Anolis sagrei: one gene and its partners. The protein of the gene in region 2 purifies or fractionates together with the protein of the main gene of each other region. This does not show direct contact. Links are inferred from orthologs where the notes say so. Each region holds a gene or a part of one and is shown on either strand. Other genes may lie near its edges. The genes, in order: HNRNPH3, HNRNPA2B1 and HSF1.

Region 1 (10,257 bases), on a different chromosome or scaffold from region 2:
GGCCAGGGATGACAAGTTGTAATCCAAAATCTGGAGAAACACAAGTTTCCCAGTGTTGACCTACTTTATCCAATAGAATTCCTCTACACATTTATTCAGATATAAATCAAACTATGTTCAGGTTTTTTCCTCTCTCCAATATGAACATACACTGCATTACAGCCTTTGTCGTCATAGCTCCTATAAATCAGAAATGGCTATACCTTTTCGGATCACCTCTTTTTATTCCTTCTCCTTGAAAGAGATGGATAAACTCCATCCTAAAACGAACTGCTCTCTCAAGCAGGAAACTTCAAAATGAATTCATTTTTTCAGAGCAGTTTGCTAAACACTGGTGCAATGCTTTCCTCATGCTACACAAAAATGTGTAGGAGGGACAAAACAGGGCATGAGAGATTGTCCCATAAAGTATTCAAGGCTATCTTTTTATGTAGTAACAAAGACACATGTATGTGTCATCAAAAGTTTTGAAATTTACAGGTCCCTTCAGGCATTTAAAAAATAAGACAATTTCCCACTTGAAAAACTTTGAATAGTATAAGCAGCAGACTGTATCAATGCACACTAACTCCTATTTTAATAATGCTTGCCTAAGAATTGGACAAACAGCACAATTCTATGCCTGTTTACTCAACGGTTGGGTTTAATTATACTCAGTGAGGCCTATTCTCAGATAACTTGGTAACAGTTCTGTACACAACCAAATATGTCACTGAGTGCAATAACTAAAGTACAAAAGCTATTCATACTTTCAGAAATAAGAAATGTATTCTGTTGCTTCAGAACTATACTACACAGCAAAATAAATACTTGTAAACTACATCAAGCCTAAAAGGGTAACACAGTATTACAGTCATACGAATAGAAGTGGGTTTTTTTTATATTAATGGGATTGGTTTTCTAGAACATGTTCAAAATGTGTTCTGCTGTAAACAGGCGTCTCTGAATTGTATGTAGCATTGAAATGATATAATCCTTTCAGAAAAATAAATAAAGGCCAAAAAAGCATTGTTTGTAGCAGTAACTTTGTTAAACAGGCCATTTACAATACAATCAGTATGTTACAGCTGATTACAAACTACAGGGTGGAAAAACAGGATCGATTCTGTATCTTAACATATGCCCTTACTATAACTGAAAATGCCTTCTAACTTTTTAGTCAATATTCTGGAACAGTATTGCTATCCTGTTCTCTAAGATAAATAGCAAGCAGGACTTACCCTTTTAGTAAATTCCTATTACACATGCGTTCTCTGAAGTACTTCTCACTGAGCCCTAAGGTAACTTAATATCAAGCACAAAAACTGAACACAGAAATTAGATTCAATTCTTTTAATGGGCATAGAACATTGAGAAAATAGAATAATCAGGCAGAGATATAAAGCCCTTAGACTAAGTAGGTAGTTATTCTTTAGTGATTGTAGCAGCATGTTTTCTAGATTAGGAAATTGTACGAGGGGTAGTTTTTAAGTAAGGTCCGTTTTGTTGTAGACACTAGTAGTTTGCGCGCATACCGCATGCCTTGGGAACAACTGTGCTCAGTTTCCGCTCTGTGCTTTAAAAATGTTTAAGACTATCAACTCACCCTCCGCATATGAGGTTCGCTTGCTTCAACTGAAGCCACCAAATCGTCTGTAATCAAAGAAGGGCGACTGGAGTGGTCCTCATCATGAACATTGTCACGGCCATCTTTGAATTGTTGTACCCATTTACGCACTTTGCTTTCACTCATAACAGTATCACAGTACACTTCACAAATCTATTGATGAATTTCTGCAGCAGGCAGGTTCCTTGCTGACAAAAACCGTATCACTGAGCGAACCTCACATGCGGAATCATAGAATCAAAGAGTTGGAAGAGACCTCATGGGCCATCCAGTCCAACCCCCTGCCAAGAAGCAGGAATGTTGCATTCAAATCACCCCTTGACAGATGGCCATCCAGCCTCTGTTTAAAAGCTTCCAAAGAAGGAGCCTCCAACACATTCTGGGGCAGAGTTCCACTGCTGAACAGCTCTTCCTCATGTTCAGATGGAATCTCCTTTCTTGTAGTTTGAAGCCATTGTTTCGTGTCCTAGTCTCCAGGGAAGCAGAAAACATGCTTGCTCCCTCCTCCATGTGGCTTCCTCTCACATATTTATACATGGCTATCATATCTCCTCTCAGCCTTCTCTTCTCCAGGCTAAACATGCCCAGCTCCTTAAGCCACTCCTCATAGGGCTTGTTCTCCAGGCCCTTGATCATTTTAGTTGCCCTCCTCTGGACACATTCCAGCTTGTCAATATCTCTCTTGAATTGTGGTGCCCAGAATTGGACACAATATTCCAGGTATGATCTAACCAAAGCGGAATAGAGGGGTAGCATTACTTCCCTAGATCTAGACACTATGCTCCTATTGATGCAGGCCAAAATCCCATTGGCTTTTTTTGCCGCCACATCACATTGTTGGCTCATGTTTAACTTGTTGTCCACGAGGACTCCAAGATCTTTTTCACACGTACTGCTCTTGAGCCAGGCATCCCCCATTTTGTATCTTTGCATTTCGTTTTTCCTGCCCAAGTGGAGTATCTTGCATTTGTCCCTGTTGAACTTCATTTTGTTCATTTATTTATTTATTTACCTTGCTTATATACCGCTGTTCTCAGCCCGAAGGCGACTCACAGCGGTTCACAACAAATACGAACAGCAAAAATTCAGTGCTACAGTATAAAAACAGTTAACAACCTAACACATTACACAATTAATAAACAGTTACTACAATACCCATTCACTGTCGTCTCGTCATCAAAAACATGTTCCAGATTCGTCATTTTGTTAGTTTTGGCCCATCTCTCTAATCTGTCAAGATCGTTTTGAATTCTGCTCCTGTCCTCTGGAGTATGAGTTGGAGGGTGAGTTGATAGTCTTAAATTTATTTATTTATTTATTTACTGCTCTTATATACCGCAATTCTCAGCCCGAGGGCGACTCATTGCGGTGTACAACATAAAAACAGGTGCAAATTACAAGTCATAGTGCAAGATATCCACAATCATCATTATCAAAAACCATCTTATCAAACATCACCAATACTACAAAATTTCTACTACATTCCGAATCGTCTCATCATCAAACCCACTGTCCGATATCATTTCCGTTGTTCCATTCCTATGGTCAAATCTCCAGTCATTGCACTTTTTGATCAAATGCCTTCTTAAACAGCCAGGTCTTTAGCTTCCTGCGGAAAATCAACAGGGAGGGGGCTAGCCTGATGTCCACGGGAAGGGTGTTCCACAGCCGGGGAGCCACAACCGAGAAGGCCCTATCTCTCGTCCCCGCCAGCCGTGCCTGTGACGCAGGCGGGATCAAGAGCAGGGCCTCCCCGGAAGATCTCAAAGTCCTCGTAGGCTCATAGGCCGAGAGGCGGTCAGTTAGGTATCTGTTCTGTGCTTTAAACATTTTTAAAGCACAGAACAGAACCGTACAGGCTAGCTACAGAGCGGAAACTGAGTACAGTTGTTCCCAAGCATGCCGGTACACGACGCACACGCTCGTTGCGGTATGCGCGCGAACTACTAGTGTCTACAACAAAACGGACCTTACTTAAAAAATCCCCCTCGTGTTTCTACTCCTTTTGTGGTACGGTTTGTATTCTCACTTTCTATGTATGTTTGTTGATTGTGTGTTAGTTTTTCTTAATGCAAATTATGAACGAGAGATTACAGATTCAGCACTTTTCGAAGCGCTCGCAGCAAGTAACCATGCAGCCCTACAACAGAACAGGCCTTGCAAACGCCTAGGGCGCTCTGCGAGGAAATCCCCCCGCCCTCTGAGCACGCACGCGCCGATCGCGCAGGCGCAAAACCCACAAAGAACGGTGGGAGGGGGCGTGGCAGAGGCCAGAACGCCCGCTCTCCGGGAGGATGAGGAGGAGGGGGGTAGAAGGGGGTGTGATCCTCCTGGAGGCCTTGCGCCTGTGTGTGTGTGCGCGCGCGCGCACGGCCTTTCCTTTTGTCAGGCGCGCGCCGGCCCGTTACTGTTCGTTGCCCCGCTCTCCCTCCTGTTCGCCCGCTGTGTGGACTGAGGGCCCAATCCCCGCGCCTCCAGGCGTCGCCCACACTTCCCTCCCCGCTCTTCGCATTAAACATGGCGCCTGAGGGAAAGGCAGGCCTCGCGCCCAAAGCACAGGCCCTCCCGCTTGACCCGCTCCCTCTCCCTCGGCCCCTCTCTCTGACCCGGCCGTGGCTCCAGAAGGCGGGCCCGCCCACTCGGCCCGCTCTTTCCCCGCGGGGTCGCCGCCGGGCCCCTTCCCGCCTCCCCACTCACCGGCAGCACCTCACCCCCTTCCCCAGCTGACTTTCCGGCGCAACGGGCCCCGCCGAACTCGCCCTCAAAAAGGCCCAGGAAGCGCTCGCGGCGGAGCGAGCTGCGCAGCTGAGGCGGGAGGGATGGCGCCGTCGACGCGTCTCGCGAGAACGCCTCCGACAGGAAAGTCGCGTCCTGGTGCCCGGATGCAGGCTGCAGCGCATGCGCAGGAGGGGAGCCGAGGCGGAAAGGCGGGAGGGAGCGAGCGAGCGAGAGAGAGAGAGAGAGAGAGAGTGTAAGATGGCGGTGGCCCCTTTTGGATGCATTTCTTCCCTGCAGCGGAAAGCAGGCCGCAAGGACATTCTAGTACCTCAGGGTCCTTCCACACAGCCATATAACCCAGAATATCAAGGCATATAATCTGCTTTGACCTGGGTTATCTGTGTCCACACTGCCATACATTCCAGTTCAAAGCAGATAATGTGGGATTTTATTCAAGGGGCCTCAGTTGACAAGGAAGCCTCTCTTTTAATAAAGGCATGTCGCCTTTTTCTCCTCATCTTTGCCTCGCTTGAGAGGGCTTTCGACAGTTCTTTCTTTTTTTAAAGATTAAACTTTGTTTATTTTCAATTTACATAGTTATACAAAGCAGAGAAATAAATTTATATACATGTATGTATTCATGAACGAATACAATACTTTTTAACATCTATACTAAGGGTCCTCAAACTTTTTAAACAGAGGGCCAGGTCACAGTTTCTCAAACTGTTGGAGGGCCGGATTATAATTTGAAAAAAAATGAATGAATTCCTATGCACACTGCAGATATCTTATTTATAGCGCAAAAAAACCGTAAAAGCAATGCAATAATTAAAATGAACAATTGTAACCCATTTTCCTAGTTCCAATCATCTGGACCAATGAGCCAACAATGTGATGTGGCGGCAAAAAAAATCAATGCGATTTTGGCCTGCATCAATAGGAGCATAGTGTCTAGATCTAGGGAAGTCATGCTACCCCTCTATTCTGCTTTGGTTAGACCACACCTGGAATATTGTGTCCAATTCTGGGCACCACAATTCAAGAGAGATATTGACAAGCTGGAATGTGTCCAGGGGAGGGCGACTAAAATGATCAAGGGTCTGGAGAACAAGCCCTATGAGGAGCGGCTTAAGGAGCTGGGCATGTTTAGCCTGAAGAAGAGAAGGCTGAGAGGAGACATGATAGCCATGTATAAATATGTGAGAGGAAGCCATAGGGAGGAAGGGAGCAAGCTTGTTTTCTGCTTCCTTGGAGACTAGGACGCAGAACAATGGCTTCAAACTACAAGAGAGGAGATTCCATCTGAACATGAGGAAGAACTTCCTGACTGTGAGAGCCATCCAGCAGTGGAACTCTCTGCCCCGTGTGGTTGGGGCTCCTTCTTTGGAAGCTTTTAAACAGAGGCTGGATGGCCATCTGTCAGGGGTGATTGGAATGCAATATTCCTGCTTCTTGGCAGGGGGTTGGACTGGATGGCCCATGAGGTCTCTTCCAACTCTTTGATTCTGTGATTCTATGATGATGATTATTATTAAGGACTTTCCATAGTCAATCAAGGGCCCAAATACTGCAAAGGGGAGTATGGATTGATATAGTGTCTCGTGCTGCGGATGTTATTGTGTGTCTTAGAGGTCTTGGGACTCTGCCTTTGTTGAGAGAATTGCCTTTGCTGCCTTTGCATCCCATGGTGCACCTCATAAGGCTGAAACTATGACCCTTGTGGCATGACACCTGGGAATCAGCCCTGTACCTCAGGACTTTGATCCAAGCGAACAGGCATGGGACTCTATTAATCATTGCAGTTCTTTATTGCATTTCTATATACATGGAAAGAATGCTTCAATTTTAGTAGTTAATGAATTAATTAATGAGACATAATTGATCATTAACATTTCAAGGGATTTTCTTCTAAACATAAGATAAAATGCTTCCAATTGCATAGAAGAATAAATGTTCTATAGCCGCAGATAAAGCTGCTAACAATTTCCCTTCCTTGAGTTTAATATTAACTGAGACGTTTATGCAACAGTTAGAAAGGAGAGTCACCATTTTGCAAGAGAACATTCCGAAAACCAGCAAAACCAGAGAAAATGCAGATTTCTATGTTCACCGTTGATGCATTTACAGATCAACCATTTCGTGGCAACCCTGCAGCCGTTTGTCTTCTTGAAGATGTAAGTTTTTGACATTTCCCTTTATCTTAAACATGACAATTGTTCAGTCATTTTCTGACTTAGTGCAGTTTTTATTAATTTCAATATGACTTTAAAGTGCAGTTTTTATTAATTTCAATATGACTTTAACTAGTTACAGTTTAGGTTACAGAGACCAATCACGTGCATTATTTATTCAGAAATATAAAATTTATTAAATTAACTAATTAAAAACCCCAAACATTAAGACCCTTATAGCACAGAATCATAGTATCATAGAATTATAGTTGGGGGAGACCACATGGGCCCTCTAGTCCAACTCCCTGCCATGCAGGAAAAGAACAATCAAAGCACCCCCGACAGATGGCCATCCAGCCTCTGTTTAAAATCTTACAAGGAAAGAGCTTCGACCAGACACCAAACCTGAGAGTTCCACTGCTGAACAGCTCTTCTTACAGTCAGGAAGTTCTTCCTAATGTTCAGGTGGAATCTCCTCTCCTGTAATTTGAACCCATTGCTCCATGTCCTAGTTTCCAGGGCAGCAGAAAACAAGCCTGCTCCCTCTCCCTTATGACATATTTATCTCCCTTTTGCATATTTATCCATTGCTCATGTCTCCTCTCAACCTTCTCTTCTGCAGGCTAAACATACCCAGCACTTTCAGACACTCCTCATAGAGTTTCACCCTAAAGAGTTGTTTGTTCTGCCTGCATTTCAGTGAGCAACCTGATGACTCAGTCCCATAATACGCTATGTCAGATAACAGTTGCTTCTGACAGGTGGTTATACAAACAAGACAGGTGGTTATACACCCCAGCCATTCCACAGATATATAAACCCATTGTCCTAATTCCAACAGACCTCACTACCTCTGAGGATGCTTGCCATAGATGCAGGCGAAACGTCAGGAGAAATGCCTCTAGAACATGGCTCTATAGCCCGAAAAAAAACCACAAGAACCTAAGACATAATTTGATAAGTATTTAACTTCCCATCTCTGCATTGCATTGCCTTTAAAAAAATAAATGCATAATAACTTGTGTGTGTGTATTTTTGCTTAATTTTGGGTTTGTTTACAGAAGTAGCTATGACTCCTTCATGCATAAAGGAACAAAGAAATAAATGCAACCTGGGTGTTTCAGAGAGTAACGTCAGATAAGCTTGACATAAATCTGCAGAGCTGACGTGGCATAACCATGCTAAGTTCCCTCTGCTATCAAGAAAACATTTTCCAGCAGGGAACACATTTCTTAACTTTTATATAGAGCTGAAGTAGCAATTTATGTACCTTCAGATATTGACAAGCTATAACTTCCATAATTCTTACCCAATGCACTTCTACAGTTGGGATGAGTAACACCTGCCTCACAGGCCACTACAACCCCCTCCCCAAACCCTAATGTCAAAACCTGTAAGGAAGGGACTGCAACGGCCCCGAATCAGGGTCAGTGCTCTGACTCAGTAAAAAGGAGTTTATTTTCCTACAGCCTACTTTGCTCACTTTACCTAGATATGAAGACCCAGGCATGGGGCCTCCTACACTGAAAGTTTGGAAATGCTCCAGCCATCTCTAGTGTTGTCCAAAGATAGATTGTGGGATTAACAGAACTCAAAAACCACTGGACAAATTGCAGTAGATTTGGGCCATACCTCCCACACAGAACCCCCATGACCACCAGAGTGGGCCACAGCAACGCATAGCAGGGGACGGCTAGTCTATATAAATAAAAAGGTAGTGTTCATTTGTGGGATTAACAGAACTCAAAAACCACTGGACGAATTGACACCAAATTTGGACACAAGACACCTAACAACCCAGTGTATGTCCTTCACTCAAAAAATTGATTTTGTCATTTGGAAGTTTCCAATCTGATATCAAGTTTTCTGACCCTGTTGAAAATATCATCCAGTCCAACCCATCTTTTGTTGGCTCTGTCAACAGATTCAGTATTTCAAGTTGCAGCATCATAATTTGCCTCCAATCATCCTCTTCTGTTCCTTTATTAGTCATCATTTACAAATCTATTCTTCTGGCGTTTGGGCTGCTTGAAACACTGTGAGGCTTATCCACTAGATGTCATCTTCTGCTCCTGATACAATAAAAAAATCTTCTGTTATCTTTCTGCTGACTATCTGACTGCTAAAAAAAAAGAGATCCCTATACATTGTTGTAATTGTGTATGATTTGTGGTGATTCAAGTCCTATGTCCTTATCAGGGGCGGCTCAACCCATTACACAAAGTAAGCTTTGCAGTATAGTTGATTTTGCCCAGGGGTGCTCTTGAGGCGCTCTTGAGGAAAATAGACCTTGACTTATGCGTGTTGTAGTTACTGGGATGTATAGTTCACCTACAATCAAAGAGCATTCTGAACTCCACCAATGATGGAATTGAACCAAATATGGCACACAGAACTCCCACGACAAACAGAAAATATATATCAGTGATTGGTGGGGGGGGGGGGGGGGGATGCCAAAATACTGTTTGCTTACCGTTGAAAATTACCTAGGCCCGCCTCTGGTCCTTAATCCCTTACTTCTACATGTTCTGGCAGTCCTTGGCGCAGGCACAACACACCAGAGTGCCTTGTGCATAAATTTAGCTTTGTTCAAGTTATAATGTTGGGCTATTTCATAGAACATTTGGGGCTGGTTAAAGACGTTTTCTGAGAGGTGAACTGATAGATGGAACAGACCATCCATCCTAGATAAGGTACATAATAAACAAACACTTTTATGGCACATGAGGAAGATAATTCCGTCCTGGGCCCGGTCCTGTTCAACATCTTTATTAATTACTTAGATGAAGGGTTAGAAGGCATGATCATCAAGTTTGCAGACACCAAATTGGGAGGGATAGCCAATACTCCAGAGGACAGGAGCAGAATTCAAAACTATCTTGACAGATTAGAGAGATGGGCCAAAACTAACAAAATGAAGTTCAACAAAGACAAAGCAAGATACTCCACTTAGGCAGAAAAAACAAAAGGCAAAGATATAGAATGGGGGACAATGCCTGGCTCGAGAGCAGTACGTGTGAAAAAGATCCGGAGTCCTCGTGGACAACCAGTTAAACGTGCCAACAGTGTCATGTAGCGGCAAAAAAGCTAATGGGATTTTGGACTGCATCAATAGGAGCATAATGTCTAGATCTTGGGAAGTAATGCTTAGTTAGATGCCTTAGTTAGACCACACCTGGAATATTGTGTCCAATTCTGGGCACCACAATTGAAGAGAGATATTGACAAGCTGGAATGTGTCCAGAGGAGGGCAACTAAAATGATCAAGGTTCTGGAGAACAAGCCCTGTGACGAGCAGCTTAAAGAGCTGGGCATGTTTAGCCTGAAGAAGAGAAGGCTGAGAAGAGATATGATAGCCATGTGAGAGGAAGCCACAGGGAGGAGGGAGCAAGCTTGTTTTCTCCTTCCCTGGAGACTAGGAGGTGGAACAATGGCTTCAATCTACAAGAAAGGAGATTCCATCTGAACATGAGGAAGAACTTCCTGATTCTGATAGCCGTTCAGCAGTGGAACTCTCTGCCCTGGAGTGTGGTGGAGGTTCCTTCTTTGGAGGCTTTTAAACAGAGGCTGGATGGCCATCTGTCAGGGGTGATTTGAATGCAATATTCCTGCTTCTTGGCAGGGGGTTAGACTGGATGGCCCATGAGGTCTCTTCCAACTCTCTGATTCTAATTACAGAAGGTTCTCTTCCCATCTCTGAAAGCCAAAATAAAGTGATAAAATAAATCTTAAAAATTTGCTCTTTCATGACATCCTAACTTT
Region 2 (9,735 bases):
GTCTAATTTTTGAAACTTAATCATCCAAAAAAGGTTTCTCTTTCACGATCCAAATGCACAGGGTGGACTTTTTACTTGTTAGACAAGAGGGAGCAAGCAGAACTATAGAAGGCTCTCCCTCGTGACATCAATGTACAACCCCAAAATGTACAGGTGTTTTAGAAATATTACAACTGTCTAGAGAACACTTCAATCACTTCTAAACTGATGTAGGTAATAAGGGAAGTTTACAGCAAACACCAGCATGCAGGATCATATGATTGGCTTATCCTGTCTAACATTGTTTTGCAGTGGTCAAATAACTGTATGTGGGAGCCCTACAGCAAGACATGAATGCAGCTGCACCCCCTATGCTGCATTGGACAGAATCCTGTTTTTTGGTATTGGATACAAAACATAACCCTCTTTACTAGTAGCTACTGATGATCCTAACTTCAATGTATGTATTCCATTCTCTTTTAAAGTCACACAGGCTGTTAACTGCCTGCCTTCATTATCCTGCTACATATATCATGGTTTCCAATATTATACTATATAGAAAAATTGTCCTCATCACGCATAACATTATAGATGTCTTTCTTACTCAGATTACAAGAGAATCCTCCTAAACATTAAGAAGAACATCTTTACTGTATAAAGGGAGTGGAATCAGAAGATCAGGGGCTATCTTCATGCAGGGCAGTGTTGAACTAGATGGTCCTTGTGGTTCCGTCCTGATACAAGATTCTGTGTTTATACACTCTGCTTTCTTTTAAACTTAGAAGTCCCAATATACTGCTGTTCTGCCTCACATGGAAGTTGTTTTAGTGCCTTGATTGTTCTAGGTGTCCTTTTCAGTATTTCTTTCACCCTCCCAACATCTTTTATAAGATGCAACGACCCAAATTGTACATACCATCCCAGAGGAAATTGCACTATCTATTTGCATTAGAGCAGTGGTTCTCAACCTATGGGTCCCCAGATGTTTTGACCTTCAACTCCCAGAAATCTTAGCAGCTGGTAAACTGGCTGGGATTTCTAGGAGTTGTAGGCCAACACCTGGGGACCCACAGGTTGAGAAGCAATGCATTAGAGCAACGTGATACTAGCATTTTTTTTTTTAAAAAAAATATCATTTCCTAATTATATGCAACATAAAAGTCTGCTTTTCTTTTCTGGTATGTAACATGTATCAACTGTCCTTGGAGTTGATAAATAAAACTGCATTTTTTTCAACTTTGTCAAGAAAGTGTAATTTAAAAATTCCATTTTAATCTTGTGTCAATTATTTATCAATATAATGTTTGCAGTTGAAACAAAGTGGCCATGTAAATATAGATGGCATCAGCAGTAGTTTCTTTACTGCTACTAGATGTTGTGTTTCTGCAAAACGTTCTCTTAAATCAATGGCAATATATTTTACATTTAGCATTTTTCTCTGAATGAAACTTGGGTCATTCCTTCTGCTACACAGAAATGAATAATTGCATCATGTGTAGAGCACGCATCAAGTATTAAAACTTTTACCTGAACCTGGCAAATCCACTGATGCCAGAATTTGTATTCTTTCCAGTTGCCTTACTTTCACAATCTTTTATTTGGTACAATAACAGGTAAGCTGGGCCAAAACGGTTCCGGCTCAGCTTACTTATCCGAACACATCTCCCCCTATGAACCAGGATAGCTAAGATCTTCTGGAGAGGCCCTGCTCTCAGTTCCACCTCCGTCACAGGTGGGGACTAGAGACAGGGCCTTCTTAGTGGTGGCCCCTCAACTGTGGAACTCTCTTCCTAGTGATGTGAGATCAGCCTCCTCCCTCCTGACATTTAGAAAATATGGCTTTGGAACCAGACATTCGGAGACTAGCTACAATGCAATAGACAGCTGGAAATCAATGTGACTGTAACTGGAATGGCTCAAGGACTCTGATTACAGAATTTGTGGTTGTTTTAATTGCTGTTTTCAATCCTGTTTTAATTGTATTTATATGTGCTCGTTTTTATGTGTAATTAATGTTAAAATATTTATAATTTGTTATTTCTGTTTTGATGTGGCATCTAATTGTGCCAAACTGTAAGCCGCGATGAGTCCCCCTTTGAGGGTGAGATAGGGCGGGATAAAAATATGGTAAATAATGCTGGGAGATGTGGATGTATCTTTTTACACTAGTGGTTCCCTACCTTTGGTCCTCTAGAGTTTTCGGACTTCAACACCCAGAAGTCCCAGCCATCTTATCAGCTGTAAGGAATTGTAGGAGCTGAAGTCCAAAATACCTGAAGGACCAAAAGTTTGGAACCAGTGTTTTACACAGAAATGCCAACAATAAATCTGAAGAAATATGGTGATAAAATCCTTACATATTTTATGTGGTTGTGAACTTACCAATGTAGATTTATTGGTGGCCATTTTTATTGCAGACTTGCTGAGCTTTTACTAGAAAAATGCATGACAAAAGGAATGTGTATTACTCAGAGAAAGGCATCTGAAAACAAATATGGTCCCTTTTTTATCAATGTGATTCCAAAATTCAAGTACATTAGCAACATTTGAAGTTATATTACTTATGACACTAGGCATTTGGAGTTAAGCATTACCTACAAAACATGCCATGCCTTTTCACTAACAACATCACACATTCTGATCTCAAACCAAACATTTGCAAAGAAAGCTTATACTGCAAAACCTCAAAGTGGGGTGATATCATGATGCTGGATTGCAATCCCCTGGTTTCCCCATAATTAGCTACACCAGGGCTGGGGATGCTGGGAACTGAAGTCCAGAAACATTTCAGGGGTCACAAAATCAGCCATAATATCAATATATACAACATTTATCTATGTCCCTCAAAGGCCCTACATGGCTTGATGGAAGGGGTCTCCTAGTGTGTCTCCCTGTTGATACTCCAGACCTCCTCTATTTGTCATCTTCCTCTCTGAGTAAGCTATCGGAACGCTGCATCATAAGACTCATGGGCCATCAATATATGTCATTTTAAAAAGAAAGGGGAGACCATTTCTGATTTGGCAGGATTTTAATTTGGATAATGAAGTTTGATTCAGATCCATCAAGCCATCTTGGAGCCTTTGAAGAACAACCATGTATAGTACAGGTAATTCTAACAGTTCAGGAAGATACAAGATTGCGGTCGAGTAGACAACAAATACATGCGTGACCTAGGAATCTTAAACATAGGTTGATTTGATTTTTTGGGGCTGTATGGCTATGTTCCAGAAGCATTCAAAGTCTGGCGGGAATCCTTTGTTGGGAGGTGTTAACTGCCCCTGGTGGTTTCTTGTCTGGAATTCCCCGGAGGATGCCTGCCCTACATGTGGGCAAAAATGTCAGAAGAGAATGCTGCTGGAACATGGCTATACAGCCTGAAAAACTCACAGCAACTCAGTAATTCCGTCCATGAAAGCCTTCCAACAACAAATCTTAAACATAGTTATAGAACATACACACACAAAAGGTAAAGGTTTTCCTTTGACATTAGGTCTAGTTGAGTCTGACTCTGGGAGGTGGTGCTCATCTCCATTTCTAAGCCAATGAGCCGGCATTGTTCGTAGACATCTCCTAGATCAGTGGTTCTCAACCTATGGGTCCCCAGATGTTTTGGCCTTCAACTCCCAGAAATCCTAACAGCTGGTAAAGTGGCTGGGATTTCTGGGTGTTGTAGACCAAAACACCTGGGGACCCATAGGTTGAGAACTACTGTCCTTGGTCATGTGACGAGCATGTAAAGAGTGGTGACCTTCCCGCTGGAGCGATACCTATTTATCTACTCACATTTGTATCTTTTTGAACTGCAAGGTTAGCAGAAGCTGGGGCTAACAGTGAGAGCTCATTCCTTTCAGTCAGCAAGTTCAGCAGCTCAGTGGTTTAACCCACGGTGCCACTGGACACATATAGAATAATTCATATTACAGTCCCAATGCCTTTTAACAGGAGTTTCTTTGCAAACCGATGGGGTGGATCAACCAAGAGATGCATGAAAGCAAATCCACCACCCAGAAAACTCTGCAACCCAGTAATCCACCACCTTCTGCCTGCTTCCCTTCCACTTTCAGCCATCCTTTTTTTTGTAGTGAGTGCATCCTTCCATTCCGAAAAAAATGGAATGTAAAGAGTAACGGCCTACAGCAAAGCATTGATGCTAAGCACGAGAAGCAAGGAAAAGGGGGGGGGGGGAGAGAAAGGATAGAATCCCACAATCTATATAAATAAAAATGTAATGTTCATTTGCGGGATTAACATAACTCAAAAACCACTGGACGAATTGACACCAAATTTGGACACAATACACCTATCAGGCCAACAAGTGACCATCACTCATAAAAATACTGAAAAACACAGCAGAAGGGACTTAAAAAGCCACAAATGCAAAGAGATGTTACAGTGCATGTGCAAAATGAGTACCCTGGACAAACAAAACACACAATAGCATATCCACACTTTCTTCCAGACTAGAGCTCCCAGCATCCCCTAGACCAGGCCCTTTAGGAGAGGAAGATGATGCAAATGCACTGCTTCCAAGCTGCAAGTTTGCTTCTCCTTGGATTTCTTTGAGAGCATACCAATCCCTGCATACCTCCAATTTCCTATTCCTGTACTGCAACTCCCAGGAATCCTCCAGATAGATAGTCAGTGGTTCTCAACCTGGGTCCCCAGATGTTTTGGGCCTACAACTTCCAGAAATCCCAGCCAGTTTACCAGCTGTTAGGATTTCAGGGAGTTGTAGGCTAAAAACATCTGGGGACCCCAGGTTGAGAACCACTGGATTAGATGGAGAGAGAGAGAGATAAATAGACTGATCAGGAGGACTGCTGGGAGTTGCAGTCCAAGAATAGAGAAGGAAGAAAGGAGAGAAAGAGGAAGGGGAAGGAAGGGAAGAGGAAGAGAAGAAAGGAGAGAACGAAAGAAAAAAAGGGAAGAAATGAAGGTGAGAAAGAAAGGAGGAGAGAACGAGGGAGGGAAGGTTGGCCACAGCAACGCGTGGCGGGTAAAGCTAGTCCAGGAGAATAAGACTGGGTGAAAATGCCTGGCCAAATATCCCAAAGGGACCCCATCCTTCTTTTTGGCCCCCCATTTCCAAGCATAGAGCTACCCATCTGAGGACCTGACGCTTGGAGGGATGTCACTCCTTTTCACCGCCTCCAGCCTCCGTTTCATCGGGCCTCTTCCTTTATGGAAGGAAAGGAGAAATGGATCTTACCAGTAAATGGCGGTCAGGCCGCCATTTACACATTTAAAGTTGGAGAGTGCAACGGAGGAGGGTCTTGGGTGGGCGGCCTCACATTATCCTCAAGCTAATTTTTGAGGCCTACTGCAAAACGCCCCATTTTGTTTGTAAAGAGGCCTACTGCAAAAGGCTTCATTACCAATCCCTTTCATGGGTCATAAGGCGGCGTTTGAAGAAAAAAAAAGGGAAATGGAGGAGGGGAGGAGAAAGGAAAGGGAGGAGGAGGCCACGCCTGAAGCTTTCTCGAGTTACATAAATATATATATATAGGTAAGCGGCCCTTTTCCCCTCAGAGCGGCTCATGCTGTTCTTGCAATTAGGATTATGATAAAGGGGCTTTAAAAAGGAGGGCAGGTGGAGATGGGAGGGGAAAGGAAGGATAAAATAAGATAAAGAGAAAGATACGGACTTCAATGGCGGCGGCCCAGCGTCTGCTCGGCTCCTCCGAACTGTGTTGGCTCCCCGCGCGCTGTGTGTGGAAGAAGGCGCCGCCGCCGCCGCGAGGGGAAAGGGGCGGGGCCTAGGGAGAAGCCCTCCCCTTTCCCCCTTCCCGCTCGCCACTGCGCATGCGCCGCCGCCATTATCTGCACCGCCGGTCGTTAGCCGCTTCACGCATTTCGTCTCCTGCCGCCGAAGGAGCCAAAGCGCGCCTCCCGCCTCTCTTCCCTCACTCTATCGCGCCCTTCGCTGTTTCCTCAGCCGAGATGCCTCGCGGAGACCGGGAGAGCGACTGGGTGAGTGAGGTAACGGACAGAGTGGCTCGGTTAATAGCCGGCTTTTACTTTGAAGGGGGGAGGAAAAAAGAAACTCCGCCGCCATTGTGTCCCTGTGAGTTCGAGCGAGGGGAGAAAATGGCGGCGGCGCAGGAAGGGAAAAAGCGCGCGCACAAACAGGGAAAGGCAGCGCCTAGGCCTGATTTTGAAAATTGTTTCCAACAGAGCTGATTTAATGCCCGATTCCTCACCGCGTCATCCCTGGGATTTTGTTTTCTCCTCAGGGAAAAGCGATACAAAACAGTATTGATATGATTTTTTTAAATAAACGTCATTTACGAAGGGATTTTAAAAATATATTTTACTATATCGAGCCACTACAAAGGAGAGGGGTTTCGTTAATCCATCGCCTACCCATCCCCTTTTTGGCGCGATGACACTTCGTGCTTCTTCGGCTTTTTCCGGAAACCGCAAAGAATGGATTGTTTGTCCGTTCGGGTTTTTCCGGAAATCGCCGAAGGGGCTGCGAGGGGGAATCGGTATTCTTCGGCAGTCTTCCGGAAATGGCCGAAGGACCCTCCCTGTGGTGACGAAGCGCCTTTGAGCTGTTGTCGCACACTGCACGATCACTTGTAAAACATTTTTTTTAAATAACGGTCGCATACTTCAGTCTGAAGTAATGTTTTGAGGAAAAGGGCCAAAACGGGGAATGAACAATTCGATATGGTTTAATAAATGGACATCAAAGTATTTTGTTTAAAAATGCGGAGGGGAGAGGAATGGTGAGGTAATTTCCAAGTACGTAGCAATCAAGGCCGCCATAGCACGAAAGACGAGTCCTATTCTCGAAGCGCGTTACTCCAAGCATGGTGCGTAGCATAGGAAGCTGAAGCGTCAGCGCCCCGGGTTGGAGATTGCGGCGCGCCTGCGCGAACTGCGGCAGAGTACGCCATTAGCGTAGGTCTTGGAAGCAGTGACGCAGAAACGCTGGGTGGCGCACTTGGCGCGACTGGGATGCTTCTAATGAGGCCATTGGGGAGGGGGAGGAAGGTTCTGGAAAGGCCCGCAGCGGTTGGGAGGGGGAAGCGGCCGTGTTAGTCTCTGGCACCCCCCTTAAGCCCCCCCCCCCAGGCCCACGGGCCATAGTGTGGGTCAGAGACCGTCTCTCTTTGTTCCTGGCGGGGAGGGGGGTGCTATTCGAAGACCTCCGCCTGCTCTTCTCCGCCTCAGCGCGAGAGCGGGCAGGGTGCGCGCGCAGAAGAGCAGAGCAGCCTTTCGTGGCCTTCTGGGAACGACCCCCCCTCCCCCCGCCTCGTCTTCTTCGGCGCCATTTTCTCTCCTACTCCGCTGAGGACTTGGGATTCACGGGGACGTCACATGGCGGAACCATTTTCAGCGGGAGTTCAGCAAGGGGGCGGGGGAAGGATAATGTGCTACGTAAAAATACCTAACACGAACCGGTTTTTTTGTCGTCCCCCTCCCAACCAGATTTGTCCAGCAGAGTTAGTTGATCACGCCCCATAAGGGCTCTTCCACTAAGCTCTATATCCCAGAATATCAAGGGAGAAAATCTCACATTATCTGAGTGGGGTTTCAGATAATGCATCTGTGTGGAAGGTCCCTTCCACACAGTCCTATATCCCTGAATTTCAAGGCAGAAAAACACACAATATCTGCTTTGAACTGAGTTATTATGAGTCCACACTCAGATAATGTGGGATTTCTGCCTTAATATTCTGGGATATAGGGCTGTGTGGAAGAGCACAAAGAGTAACCGTTTTTGCATTGCACCAAATCTTCTGAGGGCCTTTCTGCACATCCCTATATCCCAGAATAACAAGGGAGAAAATCCCACATTATCTGAGTGTGCTTTCAGATAACCCAGTTATCTGTGTGGAAGGGACCTAGTTTTTGCATTTTCTAGAACAATTGTCTCACCAAAGGCCCTTCCAAACGCAAAAACTAGGGCCCTTCCGCATAGATGTGTTATCTGAAACCCCACTCAGATAATGTGGGATTTTCCCCCTTGATATTCTGGGATATGGAGCTTCGTGGAAGAGCCCTTAGTTGATTACGTATGGGGCGTGATCAACTAACTGAACAAATGTAGTGGTGGTGGGAGGAGGGGGGGAGAGGGACAAAAAAAAGCCCCTCTGAATTTCAAGGCAGAAAATCCCACAATATCTGCTTTGAACTGAGTAATTAGACTCCACATTCAGATAATGTGGGATTTCTGCCTTGATATTCTGGATCAGTAGTTCTCAGCCAGGGGTCACCAGATGTTTTTGGCCTACAACTCCCAGAAGTCCCATCCAGTTTACCAGCTGTTAGGATTTCTGGGAGTTGAAGGCCAAAAACATCTGGGGACCCCAGGTTGAGAACCACTTTTCTGGATATTTGGCTGTGTGGAAAGGGCCAAAAAGTGCCTTTTTGCATTGCACCAAATCTTCTGAGGGCCCTTCTGCAGATCCCTATATTGCTGAATATCAAGGTAGAAAATCCCACAATATCTGCTTTAAACTGGGTTATCTGATTCCACACTCAGATAATGTGAGATTTTCTCCTTTGATAATGTGGGATAGGCTGTGTAGAAGGGCCCTGGTTTCCTTTAACATTGCACCACTTTACTGTAGCAATTTGGGTAATCTTCCATCCTGTTCTCAGCTTGACCACATTTCATAAAAATGCAAATTGCTCACCTGAAAGTTGTCTGCTGGCAGAAGAAATGAAAACAAATTACCTCTATTTGTTGGCGTAGGCCCCACCCACACTGCCATATGAGTTTACATTGCCATATAATCCAGTTCAAAGCAGATAATCTCGATTTTATATGGCAGTATAGAAGGGATAGGTTGGGATTCTGAATCTTGTTACATTTGTGAAAAAATAATATGCTTTTATAAATTGCTTCAAACAAAAAATGAAGTTAAACTAGATGGGCTCCTGAAGTTGAATGTTTGACAGATAGTGTCAAATCCAAAATGTAGCCAAATGAAATAGGGGTTTTTTTGTATATATTTCTGTATTTTTGGAGATATAGTGAGCTGTGGGTCCATGTGTCAACCTAATTAATACCTCATTATTTAGCATATGTTTCTGCATTTCAGTTGAGAAAGATGCAGGCTTTCCTACTTGGCTGCTTGCATCTGAGTAATTATTTAGGATGCCTTACACTCTGTATTAACATTTAAAGACACAAGAGCCTAAATCCAGGTACTAATCCCAGTAAGAATAGACTCAATGAGGCTGCATATGTAGGAGTAGTAGTTGGATTTACAGCAAGGAATTGCAACTTCTTTAAAAAAAACCCCACAGTGAGTGGCACACAATCTAAAATGTTTTTCAGTGGCTTGATATTTTTAGGTGAATATTGTATCATTGTAACTGATTTGTGTTCAGACACTTCAAAATCTTTTTCTCACTTATTTTAAATAAACATAATTGATACAGTCAAGAAGTCAACACAGTTCATGTCATTCCTGGTGCAGGGGAAGAAAAAAATTGTCAGGCCATTTTCATAAATAAGGGCGCTTAAAACAATCAGATAAGAAATGCAGGGGCCCAATCTTTTTTCTTTTCTTTTTTCTTTGCAGGTTAAGCATAAGGCAAGCCTCTTTGAGATTACTTCTGTGCGTTAGGAACGTGAAGCTTGCTGTTTGAGCTGTGAAGGAAGCTTGCAGTGCAACACTCAGGCTGAATTTTTTTATTTATATATAGCAGAGTTTCTTATTGATGTGGAGATTGCCCACTTTAGCATTAAACTTACAATTTAGCAATGGCTTACTTAGAAACATAACATGGATA
Region 3 (10,198 bases), on a different chromosome or scaffold from region 2:
TGTGTACGCTCCTTTGTGACAAAGGACCCCTTTGCCCACAAGGTTGAGATCCAGACACCACCCATAGCCACCCTTTTTGCCTATACACATCTTCTTATCGGAACCCAGGAAATCCCTTGTTCCCCCGTCTGCCTCCCCTGCCGTGAAACAACAAAGGGTGTTCAATCAGCTGGCGGACGCCTCCCAGGCATTCCGCCCCTCCACGCTGTCAAAATACATCCCGCCTCCTGGCCGCTGATTGGACAATCTCCGGAGGCGCTCCGAGGGCTCTGATTGGCCCCCTGGAGGCGACAGCGGCCGGCGATTGGAGGGAAGGCGGGACCAGCGGCCAAGCCTCCTCCCAGCTGTTCTGGAGCCGGCCAATCAGGACAGAGGGAACTGACAGGAGGCGGGCGGGAGATTCAAACCAGGATTTCTTTGTTTCTTCTGTATAAATATGCCTGAAATTCACTGTACTGCATGCTTATTGTGGATTCATCCCTTTAATGCATCCTTTTCAGCTGAATCGCTAAATAAACGCCTCGGTCGCAGATCTCCTCTTCAGCCTCTGGTGAGATTGATTTTCAACGTTTTTGCGTCTTTTTGAATTGGCATCCGCTGGCAGCTCACCAAGGTCGGGACCCCATTCGCGGTCCTTAGGGACTCTCCTCGCTGGGAGTACCCCCCAAAAGAGCTCGATATCATTTGGCTTTACCACGAAGGGACTGCTGCTTGAGGTTCCAGACTAAATTATAGCCTAAATTCTCAAGCAGGCGCCTTGGACTGATTCTTCGGGCCAGTGGCGGCAGAGGAGCGGCTGGGGAAAAGAGGCGCCTCTCCCAATTCGGACTTTCATTTGACCAAGCTAACCAAAAACTACAAATTCTCCCTCAGCCACCTCCTCCCAAGCTCTGACCTGGGGTTTCAGCACAAAGGAGCGCCAGGGAAGCCTTGATCTAAGGACTTCCAGGAAGAGGAGCGACCGACGCGGAAAGGGGGGAAGAAAACGTCCGGACGGGTAAGAAATCAACCGCGGGCTGCCTTGGCTGTCAGGTGGGAGGGGATTCTAGGTTTTCCGAACCAGCTTCGGAGTTGGCCCACTGGGGAGGGATTCTCTAGGTCTCGGTAACAAATTCCTGGCGGGAGGTAGCGAACATCCACGTTTGAGGTCCAGAATAGCAATTCAGCTCGCTTTTGCGGCCTTGGCTGGAGCTACGTGGGAAAGGGAGCCCTTCCCTTTCGGACTGCCTAGCTGCCAAGGGCTGATCGCCCCGGGCTCTTCTGCTAGGGAACCGTTCAGGCTCTAGCCTGCCTTGCGGTTGGGGGGGGGCTACCCTGATTAGCCACTGGTTTGTGGGGCTACCAGGAGAGATGGGCGCATGTCATTCTGGGGTCAAACGTCCTGTCTCATTGGAAACACCTTTAGGAAGAGTACTGGCGGAATGGGACAGGGTTGCGTCGCTGACGCAGGCCAGTAGGGTAAAAAAATCGCATGGAAAGGTGGCCCACCAGGCCCTCAGCAGGTGGAGTTTCGTGGCCCCTCATGGCAGTCGGATCGCTGTGAGGGGGCCAAGGGGACCGAACTCGCCTCTGCCTCATGCTTTTTTGCCATGTGCCGGAGGAGGTGGAAGGGGGGTAGTTGTGGCCAACTCCTACCATGCAAGGGGAAGGTGACAAAGCCCCAACCCCCAGGAAACCCCCTCCAGACCTTTCCCCCCTCCCTTTGAAAATTGCTTGTTCCCCTACCATCCCATTCCCATTTCCCTTTACCCAATCTCCCTGACTCCTTCCTTCCCTTTCCAACCCCTCCATTTCCCTATTCCCTATTATGAAATGTCTGCATCCATATGCCCCTCCTAAATTTTTTTCCCCCCTGTTCCTTGAGGAAATGCGCTAGGGAAATTCTTTGCTCTCCTCCTCTCCTGCTTTCTCCTGTGCCACCTTTTTTTCCTTCCTTCAGATGGGAAAAGGAGGCATTGCTCATTCCCTTCTCCCCCAAGCTACTACAAAATCCCTTCTTTCTCAAGCTGAATCTTCAGTGCCTGTTTATTTATAATAAACAGTGTTTCTCCTCGCCAGGAGAGACCCTGCCACTGATGTGACTCAGCTGCCTTGCAAAAGTCTCTCTCTCTCCTGGTCTCCCTGACCCAAGAGCTCTCTTTTTCTCCCCTTCTCTTCTGTGCAACTACAAAACCCATTTTTCAGGGGCAGTCACCAATGTCCCTGCCTTATCCTTTGTTCTCTCTTTACTCCCCAACTTCCCTTTTTTTCTCTCAAAACCCCTCCTCCCTTTCTCCTCTCGCAAAGGGAGGTGTAAGAGGGGACCTTTTCTGTTCCTGTTTCCTCTTGCCAAACAAAGTTTTCTGGCTCTCTCTCTCTCTCTCTCTCCCTGCTTTTCCCCTTTTCTCTCTAAGAGCCAGACCTCACCAAAGAGTTCCATGTGCTTGTGAAATGTCTCTGAAACCCATCCTTTCTCTCTCTCTCTCTCTCTCTCTTCCCTCCCCTCCCATCCTCTAAGAAGCCAGTATTCTGTGAATTCTTTCCTCTATCTCCCAGAGGAATCCTGCTGCTCCCTCTTACCTCCTTCTCCAAAAAACCTAAGGAAGGGATGTTCCAGAAGCATTCCCTCCTGACATTTCACCCACATCTGTGGTTAAATCTCTCTCTCACACACACGCAGTCCCTCTGATGCTCTTTTCCTTCCTGGCCCTTCCTCCCTCCCCTTTCCCTGAGCGCATGTATGTGTATGTCTAGATTATCCCATTAACTGCCTTAAATATGAAGGGGGCGTCGAGGTCCAGGGGTCCCCTCTGCGCAGTAAAGAGCAACTGATCAAACTGTGGGACCCATAATCCACTCCTGCCGCTGAGGACAACTACCTGGGCGAGGTGAGCAAGGGAGGTCTGTGGACTTTCCTGTGTGGAACCCAGATGGCACAGGAAGATCCCAGGAGAACAGGACCAGACCCCATGCCGCCCAGAAGAGACAGCCCCTCCTAGAGGCTGATCTGAGCCCCCACGGGGGAATGCCATCGCAGGAGGAGCAACCAGGATCCCACAGCAACTGCCATGAAGGAAGGAGGCCCTGCCCGTTCCAGAAGCTGTGCAGAGGGGTGGCCCAAAGGAGACCACTGACGCCCCCACTAGGTATGAAAGTTTTTTCCCTTTTGTTTCCCCACTAACTACCCTTGGGCTGGGAAGGGGGGGGGGTGGGGGGGGCTGTAAACCTTCTTTCTGACTGTCCTAGACACTATCCCTGAGTCTCTGTGATGATGGAGAGCCGGACCGGTCTGCGGTCACCAGGAGACGCCACGCCAGAAGGAGTAGCAAGGCTGTGCCCCATCTTCTCCCTCCCCCAAGTGCCAAGGGAGGAGCCAGCGCCCCCAGGAGGCCTGAGGACCACGGCCAGATGGGAGGATTCCACCATGTGCCATCCTTCTCCATTGGGAACTCACTCTGGACCCCTGAGTGCTCCATGCTGACGGCCATCACAGGCTCCATCATCCCCTGCCTCCACCGTCTTCACCTTCTTACTTCAGTCTCTTTTTCTTTCTCCAACCCAAAGAACACTCCGCCACTGGTCTCTCCCACCCTGCTGGGTCCTGCTGTTGTTGCTTGAGTGGGGCCCCGAAATAATCAACAGAATACAATCTAATCAGTCTAGAAAGAGGCCCTGAGTGCTTGGGGGGGGATTGTCGAGGCTTGAGGAAATGAGTGTGACCATTTCCCAGCCTCGAAGGGAGGATTTGATGCAGAGCATCTTTCCCCCCCCCAAGTATTTGTAGTTCACCAAGGGCCGGACAATGGATTCTGCTGCTTCCTGACCCAGATGGGACATAACTGGGTTCCTGTTTCCTCTCTGTGAATTCTCTGGCTTGTGCACTGGACCCTGGCCCCTGATCAGGGAAATGCAGTTCCCCAAAGGACATTGCCCCACTCTCCACTATTTGCAGATTCTTTTGCGGACCTTTCTGCCCTCTCTGATCGACTTGGTGCCCTAACATCACGGACTTCCTCCATGAACTCAAAGCCAAGCCGCTTGGGGAGAAAGAGCCCCCCGCCTGTGTGTGCGTGCCCTTGTTGAAAAGGATCATACCTCGGGAACTCTGCTGATTATCTCTATCAATTGCTGTGGTTTTCTAATAAACTTTACTGGGATGGGATGGGGATCTTTCCTATGGAATCTATGAGTTATGAAAGCCTATGAAGAAAATATGTATGAAGTATATGATATATGATGAAATGAAATGAAATGAGATGTACCCTCACCCTCCTTCCTTGCCTTTTCCCCTCTTGAACTTTGCCCTATTGAAAGATACGTGACCTGGGGTTACAGTAAGGAATCCAATTTCCTTGGAAAAAACTCCATTCATATTGACATTGCATGGACAAATACTGGTCACATCTGTGGCTTTGTTTTCAGTGTCAGACGAACAAAGCCAGAGATTTGCCAGCCAAAAACCCGGAAAAAACAGACTGATTAAATCAATCAAGGTGTTTTGTGTACGCTCCTTTGTGACAAAGGACCCCTTTGCCCACAAGGTTGAGATCCAGACACCACCCATAGCCACCCTTTTTGCCTATACACATCTTCTTATCGGAACCCAGGAAATCCCTTGTTCCCCCGTCTGCCTCCCCTGCCGTGAAACAACAAAGGGTGTTCAATCAGCTGGCGGACGCCTCCCAGGCATTCCGCCCCTCCACGCTGTCAAAATACATCCCGCCTCCTGGCCGCTGATTGGACAATCTCCGGAGGCGCTCCGAGGGCTCTGATTGGCCCCCTGGAGGCGACAGCGGCCGGCGATTGGAGGGAAGGCGGGACCAGCGGCCAAGCCTCCTCCCAGCTGTTCTGGAGCCGGCCAATCAGGACAGAGGGAACTGACAGGAGGCGGGCGGGAGATTCAAACCAGGATTTCTTTGTTTCTTCTGTATAAATATGCCTGAAATTCACTGTACTGCATGCTTATTGTGGATTCATCCCTTTAATGCATCCTTTTCAGCTGAATCGCTAAATAAACGCCTCGGTCGCAGATCTCCTCTTCAGCCTCTGGTGAGATTGATTTTCAACGTTTTTGCGTCTTTTTGAATTGGCATCCGCTGGCAGCTCACCAAGGTCGGGACCCCATTCGCGGTCCTTAGGGACTCGCCTCGCTGGGAGTACCCCCCAAAAGAGCTCGATATCAGGAGCAAGCTTCCTTTCTGCTGCCCTGGAGACTAGGACGCAATGGACCCATGGCTTCAAACTACAAGAGAGGAGATTCCATCTGAACACGAGGAAGAACTTCCTGACTGGGAGAGCCGTTCAGCAGTGGAACTCTCTGCCCCGGAGTCTGGTGGAGGCTTCTTCTTTGGAAGCTTTGAAGCAGAGGCTGGATGGCCATCTGTCAGGGGTGATTTGAATGCAATATTCCTGCTTCTTCGCAGAATGGGGTTGGACTGGATAAAGGCCCATGAGGTCTCTTCCAACTCTTGGATTCTAGGATTCTATGATTCTCAAGCACGGCTGGCGGGGACTTTCTTGGTGGTGGCTCCTCGGCTGTGGAACGCCCTTCCTACGGACATTAGACTAGCACCATCTCTAATGGTATTCCGCAAAAAAGTGAAGACCTGGCTGTTTGTGCAGGCGTTCGAATAATTAGTGCAATGATTGGTTAATGAACATTGGAACGGAATAATGGATGACGAATCTGGATCATGTTTCTGATGATGAGATGATAGCGAATAGTGAATGGTTACTGTAGTAATTGTTTATTAATTATGTACTATGTTCGGGTTGTTGAATGTGTTTTTATACCGTGGCCTTGAATTTTTGCTGTTTTTGCTGTTCTAATTGTTGTGAATTGCTGTGAGTTGCCTTCGGGCTGAGAAGGGCGGTATATAAGTAAAGTAAGTAAATAAATTAATAAATGTAAACAAAAATAGAGCATTCTAAGCGATGTAAACAAAAATAGCTTGGGGCTTTCTGAGTTTTTTTCAGACTACAACTCCCAGCAGGCATTATGAACGCTGCCTTTGGTGCGCCCTTCTGGGAAATGTAGTCCATTTTTTGAAAAGAAAAGATGCGCATGCGCAAAATTCTAGATAAAGGATATGAGAGAGAGCGAACTGTGTTGCTGAGGTCTTTTTGCAGGCAGCACTGCGCGTGCGCACTCCTTCGAGGGAGCCACTGCGCACGCGCGGGGCCGTCCTTGCTGAGGGGGGCGTGTATGCGCGAAGTGCGCGTGCGCAGGATTCCCCCAAGATGGCGGCGGCCATGCCTGGATTTTCTGAGGCGCTGCTGAGTGCGCAGAGAAGGGCGTCCGGCCTGGTGAGGGCCCGCTAGCCGAGCCTGCCTTGCCGGCTGGGAGTCGGAGCGAGGGCCTCCGGAGGAGGAGGACGAGGAGAAGGGCCGGGCATGGAGGCCTCGGGCGTGGGCGCGGCCGGAGCGGCGGGCAGTAATGTGCCGGCCTTCCTCACCAAGCTCTGGACCCTCGTCGAGGACCCCGAGACAGACGCCCTCATCTGCTGGAGCCCGGTGAGGAGGAGGGAATCCGAGGGAAGGAAGGAAGGGACCCCCCAAGGCCATCCAGTCCCACCCCCTGCCAGGCAGGAGAAGCACCACCAAAGCCCTCCCGACAGGTGGCCCTCCAGCCTGTGCAATCACCAAAATAATAGCAGCCACCCAGGAGGAGGAGGAGGAGGGCGGGCATCCGAGGGAAGGAAGGGACCCCCAAGGCCATCCAGTCCCACCCCCTGCCAGGCAGGAGAAGCACCACCAAAGCCCTCCCGACAGGTGGCCCTCCTGCCTGTGCAATCACCATAATAATAGCAGCCACCCAGGAGGAGGAGGAGGGCGGGCATCCGAGGGAAGGAAGGGACCCCCAAGGCCATCCAGTCCCACCCCCTGCCAGGCAGGAGAAGCACCACCAAAGCCCTCCCGACAGGTGGCCCTCCTGCCTGTGCAATCACCATAATAATAGCAGCCACCCAATCTGCCATGAGGGAAAAGTACAGTCAAAGCACTCCTAACAGATGGCCACCCAGCCTTTGTAATAATAATAATAATAAGGAGCCACCCATTAAAGAATCCTAGAATCCTAGAGTTGGAAGAGACCTCCTGGGCCATCATCCAGTCCAACCCCATTCTGCCAAGAAGCAGGAATATTGCATTCAAAGCACCCCAGACAGATGGCCATCCAGCCTCTGTTTAAAAGCCTCCAAAGAAGGAGCCTCCACCACACTCCCTCTGGGGCAGAGAATTCCACTGCTGAACGGCTATTGATGCAGGATTTTGGCCTGCATCAATAGGAGCCTAGTGTCTAGATCTAGGGAAGTCATGCTCCCCATGCTTTATTCTGCTTTGGTTAGACCACACTTGGAATATTGTGTCCAATTCTGGGCACCACAATTCAAGAGAGATATTGACAAGCTGGAATGTGTCCAGAGGAGGGCGACTCAAAGGATCAAGGGTCTGGAGAACAAGCCCTATGAGGAGCGGCTTAAGGAGCTGGGCATGTTTAACCTGAAGAAGAGAAGGCTGAGAGGAGATATGATAGCCATGTATAAATATGTGAGAGGAAGCCACAGGGAGGAGGGAGCAAGCTTGTTTTCTGCTTCCTTGGAGACTAGGACGCAATGGAACAATGGCTTCAAACTACAAGAGAGGAGATTCTATCTGAACATGAGGAAGAACTTCCTGACTGTGAGAGCCGTTCAGCAGTGGAACTCTCTGCCCCGGAGTGTGGTGGAGGCTCCTTCTTTGGAGGCTTTTAAACAGGGGCTGGATGGCCATCTGTCAGGGGTGATTTGAATGCAAAATTCCTGCTTCTTGGCAGAATGGGGTTGGACTAGATGGCCCAGGAGGTCTCTTCCAACTCTTTGATTCTATGATTCTATGAACGCAGTTCACAACAGAGCAAAAAGGCGGTCATATCAAAATAGCAGTAAACAATTTAAAACCACGAGAGCATAATATACAAGTAATGGCACATCAATAACAACACAATAACGTCTCGTAACTAGAATCGTGAACCAACTCGTCGTCTATAATTCCGTTCCTATATTCATCGTATTCATTGCACTGTTTATCTGAATGCCCGTTCAAACATCCAAGTTTTTAATCTTCTTCAGAACACCATCAGCGAGGGGGCTGATATTACCTCCATAGGAAGGGTGTTCCACAGCTGGGGGGCCACCACAGAAAAGGCCCTGTCTCTCATCCCCACCAGCCGCACCTGTGAAGCAGGCGGGATCGAGAGCAGGGCCTCCCCCGAAGATCTTAGAGTCCTGGTGGGTTCATAGGCAGAGATACGTTCGGATAGGTAGCTTGGGCCAGAACCATAATAATAGGAGCCACCCAGTCCAACCCCCTCCTCCTATGCAGGGAAAGCACAGTCAAAGCACCCCGAACCATTGAAATAATAATAATAATAATAATAATAATAATAATAATAATAGGAACATCCTGCCATGCAGGGAAAGCACAGTCAAAGCACCCCTAACACATGGCCACCCGGCCTTTGAAATAATAATATATTTCAAGCCACCCAGTCCAACCCCCCATCTGCCATGCAGGGTAAGCACAGTCAAAGCACCCCCAACAGATGGCCACCTAGCCTTTGAAATATTATTATTATTAATAATAATAATAATAATAGGAGCCACCCAGTTCAACCCCCATCTGCTATGTGTGGTAAGCACAGTCAAAGCACCCCCAACTGATGGCCACCCAACCTTTGTAATAACCATAATAATAGGAGCCACCCAATCTGCCATGCGGGAAAAGCACAGTGAAAGCACCCCCACATTGAAAGCACCACAGTGAAAGGCCACCCAGCCTTTTAAATAATAATAATAATAATAATAATAATAATAATAATAATAGGAGCCACCCAGTCCAGCCCCCTTCTGCCATCCAGGAAAAGCACCATCAAAGCACTGCTGATAGATGGCCATCCAGCCTCTGCTTAAAAGGAAGAAACTTCCACATGACTCCAAGGCAGAAAGTTCCACTACTGAACAGCTCTTCTTGCCGTCAGGAAGTTCTTTCTAATAAAGTTCAGGTGGAATTTCCTTTCCTGTAATTTGAACCCATGACTCAGCATCTTAGTTTCCAAGGCAGCAGAAAACAAAGCTTCTCCCTCTTCCTTTTGACATCCTTTCACATATTTATACAGCTGAAAATACCAGTTGGATCAAGGGAAGTCATGATCCCACTCTGTTCTACTTTGGTCAGATCTCAGAGCTTTGCTGGAGTCTTTTTTATGGCCTCATAAATTAGTTAATTTAGCCTCCCCACATAAGGTGGTACCTAATTTTCCTACTTGACAGATGCAACTGTCTTTCGGGTTGCAAAGGTCGACAACAGGCTACACAATTGGTTGGAAGCCCACTCCAACCCGGGCTGGCTTCGAACTCATGACCTTTTAGTCAGAGTGATCTTAATGCCGCTGACACTCAGCCAGCTACACCACAATCCCGGTGCAAATATTATTAATAATATTACATGGTATGTAAATATATAATTATAATTATAATATTGTATTATTATTACTAGTATTATATTGTATTGCATTATAATATTCTACGATTCTAGGGCAGGGGTTGCCTGGCAAGGGGAAGAGTTGGGCCTCTGCCTCCCTCCTGGAAAGCAGCACCAAAATGCATTGCTAACAGCAGCGAAAGCGACCCTTGAACACAAATAAGTCTCTCTTTTTTGGGAAATAAGCAGAAATGTAATCAGGGAATATGAATTGTGAGATCACAAGGGCCATCCAGTCCAGGCCCCTTTTGCCAGCCAGGAAAAGCACACTCCGAGCACCCCCAGCAGATTCCCATTCAGCCTTTGCTTCAAAACTTTCAGAGAAGGTGACTATCAGACTCAGAGACAACAGGAGATTCCACAGTTAAACTTTCAGGAAGTTCTTTTTAATGTTTGGGTGGAATCTCTCTTTCTGCAACTAGGGCTTCATTGTCTCCGGGTCTCCAGAACAGCAGAAAACAAGCTTGCCCTCTCCACTATTGACATTATTTTCTGATATTTGAACATGGCTCTCATGTCCCCTTCTCTCAGCCTTCTTCTTATTCCAAGCTAAACATCCACAGCTTCTATTCAGAAGGATTCCTAGCTTCCAGACCTCTGATCACTTCGGCCTCCCTTTGCTGGACACCTTCCATGTTGCCCATCTCTTTCTTGAATTGTGTTGCTCAGAACTGGACACAGTCTTATTCCAAATGAGCAA

What was found.
Region 1: the proteins of HNRNPA2B1 (region 2) and HNRNPH3 fractionate together in Homo sapiens (co-fractionation; 3 studies listed by BioGRID and IntAct, with this or other methods). This does not show direct contact. The link is inferred for Anolis sagrei from reciprocal best matches to the Homo sapiens genes HNRNPA2B1 and HNRNPH3.
Region 3: the proteins of HNRNPA2B1 (region 2) and HSF1 purify together in Homo sapiens (affinity purification with mass spectrometry; 3 studies listed by BioGRID, with this or other methods). This does not show direct contact. The link is inferred for Anolis sagrei from reciprocal best matches to the Homo sapiens genes HNRNPA2B1 and HSF1.

Annotation. Positions count from the first base shown.
Region 1 is NC_090023.1:170,439,622-170,449,878, forward strand, and holds the start of HNRNPH3 (heterogeneous nuclear ribonucleoprotein H3), read right to left. Parts: upstream 4,466-10,257; 5' UTR 4,304-4,465; intron 1-4,303. Other genes in the region: phenazine biosynthesis-like domain-containing protein, read left to right, coding at 6,415-6,498.
Region 2 is NC_090026.1:91,776,427-91,786,161, forward strand, and holds the start of HNRNPA2B1 (heterogeneous nuclear ribonucleoproteins A2/B1), read left to right. Parts: upstream 1-5,769; 5' UTR 5,770-5,784; coding exon 5,785-5,961; intron 5,962-9,735. Other genes in the region: CBX3 (chromobox protein homolog 3), read right to left, coding at 2,362-2,385. UniProt on the Homo sapiens protein: Heterogeneous nuclear ribonucleoprotein (hnRNP) that associates with nascent pre-mRNAs, packaging them into hnRNP particles.
Region 3 is NC_090024.1:2,716,342-2,726,539, forward strand, and holds the start of HSF1 (heat shock factor protein 1), read left to right. Parts: upstream 1-6,175; 5' UTR 6,176-6,372; coding exon 6,373-6,492; intron 6,493-10,198. UniProt on the Homo sapiens protein: Functions as a stress-inducible and DNA-binding transcription factor that plays a central role in the transcriptional activation of the heat shock response (HSR), leading to the expression of a large class of molecular chaperones, heat shock proteins (HSPs), that protect cells from cellular insult damage.